Drosophila melanogaster: one gene and its partners. The protein of the gene in region 1 interacts with the protein of each later gene in a pairwise test. Each region holds a gene or a part of one and is shown in the gene's direction. Other genes may lie near its edges.

Region 1 (4,447 bases):
GAGGAAGGCGGAGCTTCACGCATTGAACTGTGTTCGGCATTGGGCGAAGGTGGCTTGACACCCAGCATCGGTACCCTAAAAACTATTAAGGAAACGCTCACAATGCCCATTTACTGCATGCTGAGGCCACGGCGGGGCACCGACTTTGTCTACAGCGACGAGGAGATGTGCGCCCTGCTCACGGACATGGACTTGCTGCGGGAAAACGGTGCCGATGGCTTCGTTTTCGGATCCCTGAATCCGGATCGCAGCATCAACGTGGATCAGTGTCGGCACGTTTTGCTGGCGTCCGGTGGTCTGCCAGTGACCTTTCACCGCGCCTTCGACCTCACCGACCAGAAGTCCATGGACGAGAATGTCGACATGTTGCGGGAACTAGGTTTCCGACGTCTGCTGAGCAGCGGATTCCGACCCACGGCTGCCGATGGCGTAGATTGCCTGGCACAGCTGATAGCCAAACATCAAAGAGACTTTATAGTTATGCCCGGCGCCGGCATAAAGGTGTCCAACCTGGAGGAGATCCTCACGGTCAGTCGCTGCCTAGAGTTTCACGCTTCCGCCCTGGACACGGCTGGCGAGGACTACGTGGCGCCCACCACCACGCGAATGGAGTGTGACGTGACCATGGGCAAACAGGACGTGGACCCCTACTACGGAACCAACTCCATCGTGGTGCGAAAGATGGTTACCATTGCGAAAGCGATGAGCTCCCGCTGAAAATCATAGTACTTAACCTATCCCTAAGACTTAAATTATTCCTTAACTGTTTGTTTACATCATATATAACTAGTATATACCTTTTACTTAAGTAGTCTTATCCCTAAAATTCTAAATTCTAAAAAATAATCCAAATTTGATTTGATTTGATTGTGCTGAAACAACATGATTGTGGAGATAGTAGAGAATCCTGCTGCTCTAGAACATAATTCTTTTAATGATCACTTAAATAATGCAGAAAGGGTATTGCATAGAATAGAAGCATACAATGTAAAGCTAAATAATCATATGAGGAGATTGAAAGAACTGCTGGCCAACAATAGAAGATTGATTTCGGGGCTATCGTACAATGAGCACAGCATTAAATCTTTATTGGAAAACAAAGCTCAAGATAAACAAATAGAGTAAGCTAAAGAAGGAAATATGAACTCGGTTATAAACTAATATATTTTTAGGCGAAATTCAAGTAAAAGAAGGTGTCATCTTCGTAGGACTTGCAAGGCGACCAACATCAGAGAGGCATGTTGGACGCAATGCAAGTCTCACATGGAGCCTGAAGAGGAAGAGCAAACCCAAGACGTGGTGGAGATCCAAACGAAAACACAAACATCTAGAAGCCGTTCCGGAAAAGTATGTGAACGGCAGAAAGGTGGTAGGGAGCTGAGTTCATATTACGAGCTAAGTGAGGAGATTGGTTTCAAAGGTAGGTTTTTATCAATTTCTGAGATCTCTTTCTTGAAATCCAAGTATATCCCAAGTGAAATGCATGCTAAAGCTTGTCGAAAAGATGGATTTCAAAACGGCCACAATTGCCGAAGTGAAAACCATTCGCAGAAGGGTGTTAAGTGCAATATCAAGTCGCCAAAAAAACCTGCAGTGAGCCAGAAGGAGTTTGGTCGCATCTGATATGTATGTCGAAAAATCCGTATTCCTACAAATAGGCAAATTGAATGAAATAAATTGAAAACTCTTTTCAAAATAATGACATTAGCTGTTTAATGATATTTACATATGAGGACAAGAACATTAATTTCAAATTAGGCTTATCGATATGAATCGAATTTCATGCGCAGGCGCATCTAAAATTGATTCACTCTAGCTGTGTGTTTTGGAACAGAATGGGGTCCTTGGAGCCCGAGAAAGTGTGATACAGCTGGCTCCTCCGGACAGCCCTCAGTTTACAATCACTGTCAATGTCAACATCTCGAGCTCGGCAAACGGAAAACCCACTCAAGCATTCGGCATGGACTTGGACGATGTGGCTAGTCATCACGGATTCGGTCAACATATGGCCACGTACAATGTAGAGGTGAGTCCGCCCCCACCCTTCGAGCGAACCAAGTGCGTTGTATGACCGACCCACCCTTACAGACCTCGGCGGTGCACAGGAAACTTCAAAGCAAGGTGGAGGCACTTCGAATCCTGCGCCAGGAGCTGGAACAGTTTCGCGTGGAGCGAGACCAGTACAAGCTGGTGGCGGAGACCCTGCAGCTGCGCTACTCCGCGCTGAAGAGTAATAGCGAACTTCTGGCTGTCGGTGGATGTGGAGCCCTCAGCGAGAACTCCAGCCTGGCAGCCCTGCTCCACGAGACGCGCGAGCAGAACCTAAAGCTCAGCACCGAAGTGGAAGCCCTGAGGCAGCGGCTCAACGAGCTGCATGGCGACATGGAACTACTCCGGGAGACGGAGGCCAGCAACAAGTCGCGGGTACAGGCAATGGCCAGCGAGAATGCCGCTCGCAACAAGGAGGAGCTGCAGTGGCGTCGTGAGCGGGCAAACTTTATCTGCCACCTGGAGGGCCTCAAAAAAAGGAATGCCCAGCTGGCCTTCGACCTGAAGGCGGTGATCGATGAGAAGGAGGAGCTGATAACCGAGCGGGATGCCTACAAGTGCAAGGCACACCGCCTAAATCATGAACTCTTTGTGGCCCTCAGGGCGAAGAAAACGCATCCAAGGGTGAGTTAACTGATGCTATATAGTACTTACTTGATAGTTATTGATTTTCCAGCTCCTGGACATCGATGGTGTTTTGCTGGAGAACAAGTACCTGCATGAACGTGTGAAGATCCAAGACAGCGAACTGGAGCTCACCAAACAGAGCATCAATAAGTACAAGGTACTGGTATTAGTTAAGACTTATTACCATTTTATTTATTTATATTTAAATCATTCAGACAATGTTGGATGCAAAACGAAAGAAGGGAATTGTAAAACTTGGCGGTGGGAGCACAAATGAGGACACCATTCTAAGCCCCCGGCAAGGTGAGTAATTATATGGTGGCCACCTCTTTCATGCCTTTCTAATTTGTTTGTACCCTAGTGAAAACAATCCTCGAGAGTGGCATTGAGCTGCCTCAGAAAACCGAGAGCTTAAGCGATCTAAAATCCTTGTGTCTGGCCCTGCTGGACAATCTCAACGACAAGAACTTGGCCCTGACGCACCAAAAGAAGACCAACAAGTAGGAAAATCCAGCTGAAAGTTGATATATATTTCATAAACCCATATTTCCTGCAGAATACTGGCTGGCAAAATGACGGAGCTGGAGCAGCGGTGGCAACAACTCCTCTCCGGAAACGATGACAACGCAGAGGAGCAGGAGGAGGACGTGGAATATGGTTATGCGCCTTCGCAGCTGCTCCTCAATGGCTATTGTGCCGCCATGGTAGATGACGCCGACATCAGCAGCACTCCGTCCATTGAGCCAGATAACGAAGGCGTCGCCATTACAGCGGATCATGAAGATTCAAAGAAGCACAAGTCCGTTGAGGCTCTGCATTCCGACGATGGAATGTCCTCGCTTTCAACGGAGTCCGTGGATTCGTCTGTGTACGGTGCAGATGTGCAGCCCGATGACTTCCAAAAGTCTTCATCCGCCACAACAGATTCGGGCAACTGTGGATTGAGCAGCCGCTGCAACGGCACGCCACGAATATCCAGTGCAGTGGCACGGGAACGTATGGAGGATCTGAAGGACCTGCCGCCTCACCTGGCCACTCTGGTCCAGAAAGCACTTCACGATCTGGACATGCGGGACTACGAGGCTATGGTGACGATACGAGCAGAGAATCTGGCGGCTATTCCTTAGAGAAAAACTAGTTCAATTGAGGACTCCCAAAGAAATGGATGAAACCATATCTCAGTGTTGACAAAAGATATAATACATATATATATTACCGCAACAGCGTACAATAAAACCAGATTATATAAAATAAATCACTTTATTCAATCGATATTGCGTTGAAACTGGATATGTACAATAACTATAGCATACAGTTTTAAAAGACGCGCCCAAGTTATCGATAAATAATATGCGGAGTGTTGCATACCGTTAGCATAAACACACTCTCACACACTCTTATTTCTGGGTATACATTTTCTGATAAGAATGCAATAAATATCCCGACTGGTTGGAGTAATTTCGAGTTTTTGAATTAAAAATGCCTTAAGAAAAGTTTTTAATGAGCCATGTAGAGTTAACACCAGTGCCACATATCCTGGGAATGGAGCACCAATCAAAAGTCATCATCAAGCGGCCCAAATCAGGCCAATTCTAGTCGGAAAGTCGTTGCAGCCGCCCATTGCCACCATGTCGAATGATGTGCAGGTCGCCCGGGTGGCCAAGATAGCTACCGATGTGCCGCGTCGCAGTGGCAAGCAGCGTGACTCCAGCGGATTCCAGGGCAAGCACTCCGGCAGCGCGGCTGGCGAGGATTTCGAGTACGTCTTCGG
Region 2 (4,297 bases), on another chromosome or scaffold:
AAAATCAGACTTGCTGTTGTTTAGAAAATGTTATGCATTGCCTTAGGAGCGCGTTTTGAGCAAATCTCGATACCAGTTGGGCAGGATTTGATGTTCCGGACCGCGCAGCACTTCGTAGCTGGCGTGCTTATTTAAAAAAGTCACCTGGACCACCGCAAACGGATCGTTAATGTTCACCAGCAGCTTCTTAAGATTGCGCAGAAACTGTTCCAGGTACCAAGCCATTGCCGATGCACTCCACGGTTTGTTGCGGGCCAGTGTTGCCACATCGATCTCATCGATCCTCTGCAGCATGCCCTTGGTGTCGCGGAGTCCCACGTAGAGCGTAGTGATGCCCACCAGGAATGACTGACTCCACCAGTTGGCAGACTTGAACGATTTGAAGGTGCGAATTTGGTGAGGGTTCATATTGAAGACGCTGGTCTTTAGCTCTACGAATTTCAATGAGTCGAGCACTCTGCAATCTTTGAAGTCACTAATGGGATTCGTGTAAGTGTATACACAAATAATGAATGGATGGAACATTAATCATTCATAAGTATTTAAACCCTGGACCACTCACACTGGCTCCTTGCTGTCCACACAGTCCAGTTCGGCGCCGTATAGCATCAAAATCCCGGCCAGGTTCGTGCGGTACACGCCCATGAACTCCTCTGCCTCGTTGACCGGCACATTGGTCACCGGTTTTCCCTGCGCCTGGGCACTGGTCAGGTACTGCTCGAACTTGAAGCCCCAGGAGCACATGACCCGCTGTGCCCTGCTCATGTTCGCGTTCTCCAGCTGCTGCTCTGGGGTTTCCTCCTTGCACATGTAGACGTTGCCGTTCAGGAGCGTCGCCTTGACGCGGAATGAGCGATTATCATACTGCAGGCACATTATCTGCCGCAAAATACCGCGCAGTGTTACAAAGTCGCTGTCCAGGCGTAGATTTCTCGCATCGGAGCTACTCTGACGGAGCAGCTCCTTCTGGTGTTGCTTAATGTAGGTCAGCATAATTTCCAGATCCCGTTTGCCGTTCTCGACGGGCTTACGGATCACATCCTCTATACCCCCGTTAAGATCGAACGGCAGCGGTGGCCACGGTTGGCCAGCCAAGTAGCTGGCGCAGCTGGCGTCGTCCACAAATTCCCGGCTAGCGTTTATGCTGCACACACCGATGCACTTCGGGCGGCTTATCGAGGGAAACGGCGTATTGTACATCGCGCCCAGCTTGTGCTGCCCCCAGGGCACACTGATGAAGCCCGCGTTCTCGGCCATTTCCTTCGCCTCCGCGGATTTTCCAAGTTCAAACTATAATTATCCGGAAAATAACGCTAATATTTATTAGAGGTGGAGAAAAATCGCAAACATCGATGTTTTTCGAGGAATCATCGATTATTTTCTTTCTCCACTGCGCAACTAAATGGGCTAAGACCTTGGGAAATGGTTGTGGTGAGAATCAAGTGTAGGCGATTAGTATCGAAAGCTAAATTGTATTAAAAATGGGATGATGATGTGCTTATTAATTTTAATGTAATAAGTGAACGCTAATGATGATAGTACCTCGATGAAGAGAAAAAATTTTGACTCTTAGATTTGCTTTATGTTCTGTTTGAGCACGTCTATTCACCACGAGGTATTTGCAAGCTTAAATCAAACAATTTGTGTGACCACAGTCATGGGAATCTAAGAATATACTAAATACCAAAATAACACGAAATCCGATTCGGTTTTGTTCATAGATTTGTTTTTATGTTTATTTGTAACCACCAAACGTGGCTGGCCAATGAAGCATCTCCTGGAGGATCCCTCGGTCCTGGCCGAGCTGCAGGTGCTGCCGGATAAGACCGGTGGTGTACAGGATCGACAGGAGGCCGCCAAGAATCCTGCAGAGAATTCCGTGCCCGACGAAGATTTGCCGGCTGCAGGAGGCGATTTGCTACGCGTTAAGGATACTCTGGGCCAGCTGGCCTGCAGTCTGCACAAGCTGTCCAAAAACGATCACATAGTCATCGATCGGTGGGTAGTAATCCCTATTTTTTGGAGCTTTCATTCACCTTCTCTGATCACGTTCCGTGATCTTTTATTCCTGTGCAGAAAGCGCCATCAGGTGATTCGCACAGATGCGGCTACGCAACAATTAACGATTTACCGCTGTCCGGATCCCGCCGTCATGGGGATTCGCCCGGCGATAGAGAAAAATGCCCAGAATCCGCCTGCCAAAGTGGGTAGACCATCGAAAAGAGCCTGTTCGGTTGCCACCGCTCCTGTGGCGAAGAAACCAACACTAGCGGAGCAAAAACCTGCTCCCGACACCCATCGCACTAGATCCGGTCGCCAGGTGCGCAGCTTGATGCCACAGCCCGCTCCCGTGACCAGTGGCTCAGCGGTTGAGCCAAGTTCTGCCCGCATGCTTGAGATGCTGGTGGCCGACTTGCGGGACAAGGACTACCGGGCACCCATGGCAGCGCCGAAAAGCACGAGTGTCAGCAGCAGCGTCAGTATAAGCCAGGAACCGACCACAACGACAACCATCCAACGAGCCGTGCCCAAAAATGCCGTTTGTCCCGGCTGTGGAAAGATCTTTTTGGGACGCCGTCTGCAGCGTCACTTTGTCAAATTCCCAGAGCACATGCCGCGTCCGGGCGAGCAGACACCACCTGTAGCTGTAGCTACAGTACCATCAACGGTTCATCCTCCCTCCACGCCGTCGCTGTTCGGCCTTCTGACCGCCCAACTGCAGCGGCATTCCCATCTCAGCGAGGAACAGCGCTCTGATCTCTTTCTTAACGAACTTAACGACTTTGTGGAGCAGCTGCAATTGCGCAGCCAACGGCTTATACGGAATACCTCTGGACTGCATTTTGTAAATGCACGAATTGCACGAGTTTTGGGCATACCCGAGGGTCAGTATGCGTTGGATATGTCCGCCATGGAGTCGCCGCTGGCACCGATGCCGGAATCAGAGGGAGCGGCCTTGGTTGCCGGCAGCGGTAGTGAAGGAGCCCGCAATCTGGTGGTCTACGCAGAGTTGAGCATGTCGCTGGACGATCCGCTCACAGACGAGGCTGCACAGCGTCTCAATCTATCGGCGGGCGGTCAACTTCATCCGCCTTCCGAGGAGAGTCTGCTTAGAAACGTCAGCGATCTTATGCAGCCGCCAGTGGCAACTGCTCCTCCGACTGTGAACCATGGCTACGATCATGCCAGCGATAATGCCGTGGAGGCCCTGACCATGAAGGAAACGCCCAACACAGAGGCTATTCTCGATCTCAACGTGGACTTCTTCCAGTTCAATCCGAATTAGAAGGGACAAATGTATAGAAAGCGCTTAGCTAGCAATGGAGATGAAGAATTCTATGATAGAGTGAAAGGTATTTCAACTACTTTTTAACTTGAACACTGAAAAGGTTCTAAAATATGAAAGTTTAAAACATTTATTTTATTTATCGTGCATATTGCATGAAGAAAGTCTCTGAAAATTGAAACGAACTTTTCTAAGTAGATTAAAATGTATTAATGGAGTATGTAAATATAGAAATAGGGATCTCTTAGATACATTTTGGTATTGTATTTTGAATTTTTACTGAATATTAATATTGAAATTGTATAATTTGAAAAGTAACCTCATATAACCTCCAGCCAAAAATCTATGCAATTAGTACGCAAATGTAAATGGTTGAGTGGCAAAAATGCCGCATGCGGATGGAGATTATTTATGAAGTACTTAACTGGCTAACGAAAGATGCCTATTAAATGAATTTATCTTCCTTGATTTTTGAAATTGTTGCGTTATTATTTGCTGGAACATTTGGAAGTGAATAAAAATCCTGGCCAATTTAGTTTAATGTATATATGCTTGTGGTTTCTAGCAGCTTTTCATACTTTTCATTTGTGTTTACTGCAAGTCAATTAAATTGATCGCAATTTTAATGGCGTTCAGCTAAATGGTAAATTTCTGTGAAAAATTATTATTGCTTTTAGTACAAAGCTGCTGCTTAAATAAATCCCTTTCAATACCTGTGTGTATTACAATATCTAGAATATCTTTATTGAAAAGCGTGCGTGTATCTATGTTTACTTTCAGGTGTAAAGTTTATTTGCCACGATGTAATCATATTTTCTGGCCATCCACTTGATTTTCAAAATACGTGGAGGATGGCAAGGGGGTGGCTAAAATCAATTTGGCAGTTATCACTGCAAATGGACGACCGTGTTTGCCTTGGTTCAATATGATTAAAGCTGATGACCGCCATGGAATTGCACCTAAAAGTGCAGTCAGAAAGTGACCTATAAATAGCGGAGATTCAAAGAAGTG
Region 3 (4,109 bases), on another chromosome or scaffold:
AGATTTTCCTAATTGGTAAGCCATAAATTGTATTAATAAATTTTATTAGTTATACACCTGCTTAGAACGAATAACCTATGTATTTGCCAGACGTTGTAAACCGTTTTCAACGCTTTAATATGCTTTTAGATGCGGATTGTTATTTCATTATACAGATGTTAACATCCAGAAACAGTCCGTTTTAAGGATTGGGACTAGCAGGTCATACATAGTAACATGTTCAAGTATTGTTTTATATGCGTCATTCTAGCCTGGGCTTCTCGTGATGTTCTCGCTAACAAAACGGAAAATCCGCTGCTAATTGATCAAGTGGCTATAAATCAACAACAATGGTTCACATTCATTGCGCTGAAGGAAAGTGAAATGCAACAGAAAATAGTGAGGATCGAAAGATCGATAGAAGAACGATTGATGGCCATGCAAAGCAAGTTGGCATACGCACTGAACGAGCTGCAGACCATAATGGGCAACCAGAGTGTGGAGACTCTCGAGAAACTACGAATCTCGCACAGGATTAATCCGGCGCTTTTCCAGAGAATGGGCACAAGACGCTTCTACATTGAGAAGGAAAACAAACAAAATTGGTTTGGCGCCTCAAACACCTGTCGTCAATTGGGCGGTCACATTGCCACCATCAGGGATGAGCAGGAGTTTAATGAGATCTTCTCAAGAGCGCCGGCCGGCGTCTTTTGGATAGATATGAATGCTATGTTCAAGAACGGCCTTTTTGCATCATCACTCACCGGCAGATCGCCGCCGTTCTTTAAGTGGAAGAAAGAAGAAAGGGGCAATAAGTTCGATTGCGTTAATGTATACAACAAGGAAATGTACAATGAAAATTGTTTCAACACCCATTTGTTCATATGTCAAGCCGAGCAGTGGGATTGATGCGAATGCGAAAATAATAAATTAAGTTATTTTCATTTTGCATCTCGGCAATTTACCGACAGCTTTTAATAAAGTTATGAGCCTACTGTCTTTTTTATTTTACTAGCCCAAAAATGAAGTACATAACTGTTTTCTCAGCCAAGAGGATCATTAAGATTATTGGGTAATGAAAATTAAAATATTTTCCCTTAAGTACAAAACCAGGCCAATCCATATGGGGTTTCCATCAAGTGCCCAGAAAGCGGTGCTTGGTATTTCAAAATGCCTTACACACATGACGTGTCCACGTTCTGTGCAGAAATAAGGGCGGCCAGTGCCACGCCCCTCCACAAGGAAGCCACCCAAATGGTGACAAAAATGCTTTTGATTTGTGGGCCATTCGCACACCCATAGCCACCCACGCTTATTAGAATCCTGCCATTGTGGCAGCCAAAGTGCAACTAGCAGAGACAGATAGCAAACATCCAACAATGTGGAGCAGAGCGCAATTTATGACCAGGGGCGAGATTTCGAAACGGACTAATAGGATTGCGGCTCCAATTTTTGGGGCTTTTCATTTCAGATACCTCCGCACATACGATGCAAAATTATATCTCGAGTTTTCACTTACGTTATTATACGCTCTAGTGTGCAAGTCTTTAGTTTTTCCAATTATTACTATTCAATAATACTAATATACCAATATTGTATTTTGTTATAATAATAAGATGCTATTACCGTTACATTATTAACAAATGGGTAGTTGGAATTCCCCTTTCAAAAATAAAGATATAAAAAAAATCGATCTCTATGTTGTAGGGAACTAGTTCATTGAGATTAGTTGCAGAACTCATTGGAATTATTCAAAACTCATTATTCAAAATATAGATAAATAAATATAGAAGATATATACTTAAATGTGTTATTTTGGAGTGACTTCAGTTAAGTTCGAATTATTTAATTGAATTTACCGCGCATTAGTGTTACCATTTTACACTTACACCATCAAAATATTTCTAGTATTTTCAATCGGTCGTGAACTGGGCAATGAAAAGCCATCTGGCAACACTGTTCCATGACGCTTGAATTTTAGCGGACAAACTCGAAAAGAAATAGCAAAAAGACGACGCTTGCTACGAAAATAGTTATTCCTCGCAAAAACCCTGTAACGTGTAAACAAAGGCCGCTGCCACGATGCCGCGCACCAAGATACCAAAGAACTCCAAACGCAACCGCGAGGTGGCCAATCGCGAAGAGAAGGTGCGCCTGTACGAGCTGAAAATGGATTCCCGCCTTATCAGCATCGATTCGCTGGAGACCAAGTTCCTCTCCGCCGTGGACCACCAGGTGAAGACACTGCTCGGCCAGGTGCAGAAGGAGCTGGCCAATCTGAAGATGCCCGAAGTGCTGCGCCTCTTCGAGGAACTGGACCGCTTCAGCGACTTCAAGGCCAGCGATCAGACGCAGCTGCTCGCCTCGATGTCCATGAGTGGCAGCGCCATCGAGGGCCACGCCCCCTCCGCCACTGGAAGTCGCAATGACGAAGGTTTGTTGGCCTATATATGTATGCTGTTATACCAATCTGCTGGCAAGGATGTCATCACCCGAATTACAAATGAATACCGGTTTTACATGCCAAATTGGCAAATTCCATTGTATATTCGGTATTCATCATACCCTCTTGTTGCCATTTTCACTTTTAATTTTAATCTAACTGGTGTCCGGCTTTGTGACTAACTCAACTTTGCTTTCTAACTCCGCACCGCACATTTCAATGCACGCAAAATGCATATACCCACATCCACATCCTGTGCCGGTCACTGTATCTAGGCTACCTTACAGAGGACAGCAGCATCGGTGCCAGCGGTGGGAGCATCCTGGCCGCCCACACAGGCTCCCTGCTGCGGTCCACGAAGGCCATGCGCACACCCGGACCACTGCACTCGGCGAGGGCTCGTCGAGCGCGGCGCAGTCGTTCCGCCTGCGGGGATCTCAACATATTGCACTCGGCCAAACCGCCGTCAATTTCGAGCAGCAGCAGCAGCAGCCGCAATTCGCGCAGCAAACTGCGCACACCGATGGCCTCGCGTGCGAAGGCCTTCAGTGCCGACCGCACTCCTTTGAAACAGAAGCAAATGCGCTCCGGATCGCCAACTACACCGCCGATGGCATTCCTGCGCTATCCCAAGCCCGGCGAGGTGGCACTATCCAAATACGGCAGTCCCATGGTGGCTCAAGTGTAAGTATTGATCACATACTACGTGTCGATACCAATTTGTTAAAACCATTTTTCCCACACGATAGAATGCCAGACAAGTTCGCCAATGTGAACATACCCATTCGGAACGGAGTTCTTAGCTTGCGGCCCAAAAAACTGGATGCCGACGAGGTGGAGTCAAATCTGTTGGAGAACCTGGACGAGGACACCCTTAACCAGATCAAAACGCTGCACGAGAACTTGCAGATGATTGTTAATAAGGCCAGCCAGGCGGTGTTCAAGTAGCTGTCATTTCAAACGCTTATCTAGATATAATGCTATATCATATATTTTAATACGTTTCGTTTAAGTTCAGTTTTCATTTTACTCATTTAGTTCAAGTATTTTGTCTTTATTCATAAAAATCTATCGTATTTGCATAAGTTTCAATACATGTTCATATCCAAGTGTACGGCGATTTAAATGTAATGTTTTAAATACATGCTTAATCCAAAAAAAAAAAAATGAAGCGTTCCATGATGATTACTCGCCTTCAAGCAAAACGACGGAGAATCGAAAGAGATGAGAAAGTGAGAATCCAATTTAATTCTGCAATGGATAAAGTCGATGAGATGGCCAAGTTGTTCAAGCAGGATGTGGACAACAAATTGGGTTTGCTTCAAGCCAGGACTGATGCTCGTTTGCTGCAGATGAAATGGTCGGATTTCATGGCTCTAGCAAAAACTGCTACCTTCAAATAACATCTTTCTTTTGCTAATTGCAAAAGAGGCAACCGCTTTTAAGTTCCCAGATTTCAGAAAGTGGCCAATAAAATTATGTTATGTTAAAAATGTTTAAAATGTATTTTCGCACGTTGATATGAATACAGTTTTGAATCGCTTGTTCACCAAAGAGCCCTTTGACTTTGTTAGAATTAGGCGATTAGTTGACTGGAATATATAAATCGTTAGAAATATGCCTCGCACCAAGATTACAGCTCGTCGTCAGGCCCAGCGCCAGAAGGCTGATCGCGAAGAGAAAGTGC
Region 4 (7,577 bases), on another chromosome or scaffold:
ATTTTTTCGACTCCAGCTTCTTTGAGCTCGTACATTATGCGCAAAATGAGAAATCTGCGCACTGAAGTGTATTCGTGTTTTTGCTAGTGGTTGATTGATTTTTTGTGACCGTATGAATATTGAGGGTGCGTCGTCGTTGGAGCAAGCGTCGCAACGGCATGAAACAAACTCTTACAGACTCTGTGACTGAGTCTTAATGCTTAATATCAATATTCTAGTTTTCATTGTTCCCGAGATCACAGCGTTCAGATTGATAGTCAGACGGACTAACCAGTTACTCGATAACTGACCGACTGCATATGAAATCTTCAGTATATGTAAGGAAATACGATACCTATACACCTATTATGGTTAACATAGGTGTAAACGTGTATTCGTTGGGAATCAGATTATCCACCCTTACCTGATTCTTAAGAGTTTCGTCAATGTGAATGGTAGACGTCTTCCGAATCATGTCATGAGAATATTTAAAGTTAACGGGTCCTAAGATCCCGCTCTCTATGAAAAAATGTTTTGCTTTATCAATGCTCGAGTTCAATGGTTGCATTTTTTAGTTCTTATTAGATTAAAAAAGGAGTAAAACGTTGGTCAGATCAATGTTGATGGAGATCTTCTTACTCATTTATACTGAGTATTTCAATAACTAGCTGAAAAGTTTAAAGGATTTGAGCTTTAAGTAGAATAAAACTTTTTATTAGACTTACACATATACCCAACACATGCAAATGTTCATATAGTTGTTTTATTTGTTAATTTTTATATTTTACATTATTACAAATACAAAATATTAAGTGCCGAAGATCTGTCGCACGCTTCTTTGTGTGAATACTCGACTAGAACATATATGGGAAACAATACCTAACCCAATAAATGTCTTAAGATATAAGTTTCTTCTAAACTGATCGAAAATATAACTAGTATTCTATCAGTAGTTTTGTGTCATTATACATTATACCCTCTTTCCACTAAATTACCTGCATATATACACATGTTTGGGATATAGTTCACATGATATTTTTGAAGCGATTTTAGGCTTAATGTTATTTTATTAAATTTATATTTATATATATTATTTATATTTATAATTATATTATTATTTATTCGGTAATTTCATAGCTGTTCTGGGCATTACTTTCTTTCCACAATAAACATAACATTAGATGCTGTTAAAATTTGTAGTAAGTAATCGTAGTAATAATAGTAATAGTAGTAGTAAAACTAAAACATTTTTACGGGTAACAACACAAGACTCTCGTTTCACTCTGCATTCAAGCGCTCTATTATTAAACAAGCTCTAATTATATTTCCATCGTTCAATATCTATTTTAAAGAATAGAAGGATTAGAAAACTTTTTCGTCTTATTTTCAAAATTTGTGTCTTATTCGAACACTAACAGCGAACATACCGAAAGCAAACCTTTTATCTGCCCTTATAACCACTTTCAAACCACATAAAAAATTGCAGTTTGTTTATGTTGGTCAATCAATTGAATTTGATTGAACCCCATGATTACCACTTTTGGCATACCCCAAATATCGATATATTTCCCATCAAAGGCAAAATCGATAAGTTATCGTTAACTAAACATCCACAGATTGTAGTTCGTCTAATAAAGGTGTAGACACCAAGTCAATTAATTTTAATAACAAGAGGAAGTTCGTGGGACGGTTAAACCTATTCACAGCATTTCCAAGGTTTTCTAAAGAAGGTGTACCTCATGAAAGAACATGATGGCAGACAGATACGCTTCAGATTTGGCCCTTGTTGTCGTTGCGCAGATAACGCAAACTATTGGTTACAGCTGCACTCTAAGTGCACCCTTGGAGTTGTTGCAAGACATATTGCAGAAGTTTGTACAGGAGTTCGCTCGAGACATGCATAGACATATGGAACACGGTAAGTGGTATAGACCCTCAAATCAACGGAACCGATCATGAAATACAACAAAGCCTGAGTAGTTATAGTCGTTACTTGTAGAATAAGAGATTCAATAAAAAGTATGTGACATATATGTACATGTACATAAATGTATAACTTATCATCCCTGCAGTTCCATCAGACTATCATTAATAAATCATTATTTATCATTAAAACAATTTTGTTTGGAGTTAGGGCATTTTGCTTTCAGTTGCGTTAGAATACCGGTCAACCTGTCCGTTTAACCTTAAAGTAAAATATATTAGTATAATGTGTACAGAAATGTATTACGAAAAATGTACATCGCTTCTGCGAGTAGTACGTGTTGTTGCGTGTAAAATGAATCCATTGCCATTGGAATTTCCTGATTAAGCTCGCGCCTGCTACTCGCATAAATCTAGTCCCAGTTATCCGCGAAAAAGGAAGCGTGCCTCTTAGAAAAGTAATCTTTTAATTTATTTCTTTCTTTTATTGTTATTTCCCTTTTCCTCGCCCAGTCCCTTTCACCTACATCAGTATATAATTTCTCTAGTTCCGATGCGCATTAAAAATTTAAAGTTTCTTACGAAACTTATGTGCTCGGCGACTTAGAGCGTCAGCTTAGCATTCGGCTGGAAATAAAAGATCCATAATTTATTGCTGATTCCCTGCTTGTGGCTGTGCAGCCAAAGCAGTTGGTACTGTGGGCGAAACCGATGATCTTGGGATGTTTTTAAGGAGCGATGAATTGTGGGACTGCCGGGGTCTCGATTGGGGATTATGAAACCTCAATAGGCATGTAGATTGTATTTTTTGCAAATTATTATTTCATTAATTGTCTTGTAAACACCAAAAAAAAAAAAACAATAAATCTTTGATTTATATATATCTTAGATTAAGATATATCTTAGATTAAGATATATTTTAGATTAAGATATATCTTAGATTAAGATATATCTTCCTTGTAACCACCGGAACAGAAATAAAAATAAATAGTTGAGGAACTCGACTAAAGCGTTCTCTTATATTTTCTTTTTAATTTTGCTTGGTATGTTACTTAATAACGTTATTTATATGAGTTCAAAAAAATCTTATTAAAACCAAACAAAAAATCAAAAATGCTTTGTTTATTTGGATAAAATTTATAAAAATATTAATTGACAAGTATATATATTACTAATTTAGCAAATCGGATAGAGCCGAACCTTAAGGATGCACGCTTAAGTATAAAAAATCTCAGCATCAATGTTCAAGAACTATTGGACTACATAGGTAATGTCGAGCCTGTTGGATTCATCCGGGATGTACCACAGTTTCCCATTGGAAAATCTGTAAACATGAACTTCCTTAAGCCTGGAAGCGCTGAAACTCTAACGCGACCTGTCTACATATTTGAATACTTGCCACCAATGCAGGACCCCGAACTTCGTGAAATTCCAGCCGATGTTCAAAAGGAATTTTCGGAAAAGCAAGAGTTTTGTTCAAAAGCAGAGTATAGTTCAACAAACGCAGCTGATAAGTTAGGCGCCAAGCACATTGATTCTATCTCTCCTAATACTGTGATAAATTTCCGGTCGAATGCCTTTGAATTGGACGTTGGGAGCTCAGTCCGCGAAATGAGCAGCGTGGTAATGACAACAGGGGGATTCATAAGTCCAGCTATTGAAGGCAAGCTCCCCGAAGATATCATACCGGATATAGTTGGTACGACCTATCCTTATACCACAGCTTAATAAATTTTCATGTATCGGTGTTTATAGAAAAATTTTTAGGTTTGGATGCACCCTTTTCACCGACGATAATTGTAAATTCGTTACAAAAATCTCCACAACTGGCGCTTTCTGACAGAGACAAAACAGTAAATCCACGAAAAATCATTCCCTCAGAAACTAAAATCTTCAAACAAAATGCTGCATTATTGACAAGTGGACATTCAGAGTCTTCAATAATATATGCGTCTAACAACCATACGATGCTAACTGTTACAACACCTAAGAAGAATAGAAAACAGAAACATGATTTAATATGCGAACCCGGTCAAAGCGAACTTCTAACTAATCCGTTTGAAAAAGCTCAGGAAAAGTCACAGAGAAAAGCTTTAAAAATGTATAAACAAACCTCAAAGAACCAAAGAGACAGCTCAATTAATCAAATACAAAACATGAAAAAGTTAAAAAAAAAATTTAACCGCGGATCCTTCGATCCAAATAAAAAACATTTAGAAAAAATATTTAAGAAGCAGTCCAAACTTAAGCAAAATGATCTTCAACTGGACATCGACGAAAAACACTTTTTGCAGAATTCTCAAACTACGAGCGGCCTTGCCATAAAAGCTAACTCAAATGAAAATGCTTTACAAGCTGATATCCCTAGTCAGCCGCCAACAGTAACAAGCCAGATTGAAAATAATTTTCGAAATTCAATTTATCCAGTGCAGCCATCTGTAATTCAACAAACGCAAGTGCTATTGGCAGAAAAAAAAAGTGGATCAGAACCAGAACGAAGTAAATTGGACATTTTTAAGAAAATTTCTAAGCCACGTACTCCACGTCCAGATATTGGGGCGACTTTAGTACCTCCTGGAACCGGGGTATCTGTATTTGGAAGCACAATGACCCCTTCAGCATTAATTAGTCTTCCATCGGGGACTACTATAACTCCTACACCTTCACTTGGTCTAAATTCTGAAAACAAAAACGTTCCGAGTATGAAAATCAACCCTTGCAATATATTCGATGGAACTATACCTTTAACTAAAGCAGGCGTTGAAATGTCAATTATTGATTCGCCAAAGCCAAAAAAGCGAGGTCGCAAACCTGGAGGAAAAAATGTAATAAAACAAACAAATGTTGTATCGCAACCTTTAATTAATAAGGTCGAACGGAAAAAGTCAAGCCAAGCTATTACACTGCCTCTATCATCATCTCCAATGATAATAACCCAAAGTTCTTTAAACGTCTCCCCGCCAACAGAACCTCTCAACTTGTGTAATACCGAACAGCCCTCGAATAATTTTTTGTCAAACCTGTATGCAAAAGAAAAAAAGGACAGAAAAAAGTACAAATCATTACCAGAAAATGTAATGCAATTAGACAAGAGCTGTTCTCCTGAAAAGGCATCAACACTACATAATTCTATTCGACCCACAAAACAAAATAATGATGTACAATGTTCAGATAAATTTGTGACTATATCCAATGCTTTGTCAAATGCATCAATTTACCCTGGAATTCAAACAGGAATGGTTCCGTTGCTTCCTTTATTGCAATTTCCACCACGACCTGGTCTTATTCCTACTGGACCTGGGCTTTTTCCTGCAGTCACTGGTTTAGTTGGCTTCGGGAATCACGGTAACAGAATACCTATTTCGCCGTTCATAGATTATCCTGGACCAGAAGAATCAGTTGCGGATACTGTTCGATGTCCACCAATTAAGGATTCTCCTGGTACGTCAAATGAGTTATTTTTATACGCATTGCTCGTAGTATATATACGTAGTATATATTTTCGTGACCAGGATCAATAGCCGAGTGGATCTGATCCTGTCCTGTCCGTCCGTATGAACGTCGAGATCTCATGAACTATAAAAAGCTAGTAGGTTGAGATTAAGCATAAAGATTCTAGAGACATAAACCCAGCTGAAGTTTGTTGACCCAAACTTTACTTTACCATACCAGTTCGAGTATCACAGCTCGAAGAATATATTGCTTACATAAAAGTCTCGGCAATATCTTAATTCATTACAGCAAAAATACTAATCTGAAACTAATCATTGAACCGTTGAATGTAGAAAATAGGTATAGGTACACACTCAAGAAGTGGTATTGGGAAGCTTCTAGATGGGTTAGTATGAAATATTTGCGTTTGTCATAAACTAGATATTTGGAGGAGCTCAAATTTTTTTTTTATATTGACAATACGTACCTACCTACAATATGTGAATTATTTGTCGACCAAAATATTTAAATATTTATAATGATTAGAAAAAATAATTTTTAGTTACTGATTCTGATCAATTTCTGAGCCGATCTTCCACGCAAACTGACTTGCAAATGGATCGAAACTACTGCAATGTTGCTCCATTAGTACCTGACTCAATGAAATTCGCCGAGTGTAAGTTTAACGGTAAATATATTTGTAATTTAAAAATAACTTATTACTTATATCTGTAGGTAAAAGCGTATCTTGTGCCAGCACAATATTGGAAAACCCATCTGCACAGGCTACAAGCAAAATAAACACGAAACCGCTTTTGGAGGCTTCTGGAAATCCTGATGATCCAATAGAGGTTTCAGATGATTCAGATGAATCAATGCACAACAGGCAGATGGTTCAAAGAAAAACCCCAATATCATCACCAACTTATGTTAAAACCAGCTTCGCAGAACTAAATCCCTCCTCGTTTACGTCAGCTGCATCTAATGGTGAAGAAAAATCCAAAATGGATCTAAGGAATATTGTGTCTCTAAGCTCTAACGAACCACTTAAAAAATTTAAAAAACTTGTTAAACAGAGTTTTCCCGATGTAAAAAGCGTACCCCACACGCCAGCTTCACATTCATCATTTCCACAATTTAACTTGCCTAATTTTATGGGAGGTGACAAATTCAGTTTAGCTGGGGGAGCAGATCTTATTCCTCTGTCGAGAGTGAGTGATTCGGAATATTCCTCCAAAATAGTACCATTCAGTAGCTTAGGTGGAACCATACCGAATCAAATCAAAATTTCAGAAGAGCACAATATTTTTTCTACCTTTTCTAACTACGAAGATATTACAATAACACCAACTGGATTAACGTCGTTGGAACCGAAAATGCGGAAACATCACAAAAAGCTAAAAAAGGTTAAAGAAGGGAAAAATAAAAAAAAGAAAGAGAAAAAGGACAAATCAAAGAAAGCGGATCAGATTGGCTTACCATCTTTCAAATCCGACCGGAAAATAAAGGCCAATGATAAAAGGCAAAAAAAAGAAAAGAAAAAGGATAAAGATAAGCAGGTTTGTGTCAATTCTTTATTTATAAAAAAATAGGTGTTCGTGTTGTGGTATTTGGATCAGATATGTAGATACGCCGGAGCTGATAAGCAACCTTTGCGATAAGTACGTACACAAACTCATTTGAAAACAGCAAGTTATGTGGGAAACATTTTTAAAATCATGAATTCTGTGAACATATTCCGTATAATAACATTAAATTATGCATTATGCATTATACATTATACATTATGTTCCAAATTTGTATTAATACTTATATAGACTGTTGTGACTAATTATAACATCGAAGCCTACAGCTTGGTATAGGTACAAAAACATCTTAATCCTACATAAACATGTAAAGCAGCCAAATCTTTTAAAGTTATATTTTTAGTTCTTACAAATTTTATTTTAGTCTATACACATATCTCAGCAAAATCTTTTAAAGTTAAATTTATAGTTTAATCAATTCTTATTTTAGATTTTAGTCCATATACCAGATGACACAGAAGAATTTGACAAGGTGCCTTTAGCTAACAACGATGAACCTGTATTGAAATCAAGTTCCATGACAATAAATCCATCGTTAGGTGCCGCCACAAGTGGAATATCTCCAAATCAAATACCAAAACTAACACTAAAACTTAGTGGAAAATCTACATTATTTTCGTCTTCAGAAAAGGAGATGACAGATGCAGGGAAACTAAA

The links.
Region 2: the proteins of CG14868 (region 1) and CG13005 interact in a two-hybrid assay, tested with the Drosophila melanogaster proteins (one large-scale study listed by BioGRID).
Region 3: the proteins of CG14868 (region 1) and borr interact in a two-hybrid assay, tested with the Drosophila melanogaster proteins (one large-scale study listed by BioGRID).
Region 4: the proteins of CG14868 (region 1) and Taf3 interact in a two-hybrid assay, tested with the Drosophila melanogaster proteins (one large-scale study listed by BioGRID).

Annotation. Positions count from the first base shown.
Region 1 is NT_033777.3:15,367,292-15,371,738, reverse strand, and holds CG14868 (uncharacterized protein), read left to right. Parts: upstream 1-1,793; 5' UTR 1,794-1,960; coding exon 1,961-2,026; intron 2,027-2,088; coding exon 2,089-2,673; intron 2,674-2,725; coding exon 2,726-2,833; intron 2,834-2,891; coding exon 2,892-2,979; intron 2,980-3,037; coding exon 3,038-3,176; intron 3,177-3,232; coding exon 3,233-3,803; 3' UTR 3,804-3,923; downstream 3,924-4,447. Other genes in the region: CG6136 (uncharacterized protein), read left to right, coding at 1-717; CG34404 (uncharacterized protein), read left to right, coding at 4,305-4,447.
Region 2 is NC_004354.4:16,801,995-16,806,291, forward strand, and holds CG13005 (uncharacterized protein), read left to right. Parts: upstream 1-1,655; 5' UTR 1,656-1,765; coding exon 1,766-1,998; intron 1,999-2,076; coding exon 2,077-3,286; 3' UTR 3,287-3,760; downstream 3,761-4,297. Other genes in the region: Rai1 (Rat1 interacting protein 1), read right to left, coding at 43-475, 563-1,257.
Region 3 is NT_033779.5:9,250,939-9,255,047, reverse strand, and holds borr (borealin-related), read left to right. Parts: upstream 1-1,929; 5' UTR 1,930-2,061; coding exon 2,062-2,413; intron 2,414-2,697; coding exon 2,698-3,106; intron 3,107-3,171; coding exon 3,172-3,370; 3' UTR 3,371-3,576; downstream 3,577-4,109. Other genes in the region: lectin-30A, read left to right, coding at 217-888; aust (australin), read left to right, coding at 4,040-4,109. UniProt on the Drosophila melanogaster protein: Component of the chromosomal passenger complex (CPC), a complex that acts as a key regulator of embryonic mitosis.
Region 4 is NC_004353.4:460,821-468,397, reverse strand, and holds the start of Taf3 (TBP-associated factor 3), read left to right. Parts: upstream 1-1,569; 5' UTR 1,570-1,728; coding exon 1,729-1,897; intron 1,898-3,082; coding exon 3,083-3,601; intron 3,602-3,657; coding exon 3,658-5,343; intron 5,344-5,896; coding exon 5,897-6,010; intron 6,011-6,069; coding exon 6,070-6,893; intron 6,894-6,984; exon of another isoform or gene 6,985-7,350; coding exon 7,351-7,577. Other genes in the region: CG33941 (uncharacterized protein), read right to left, coding at 404-547.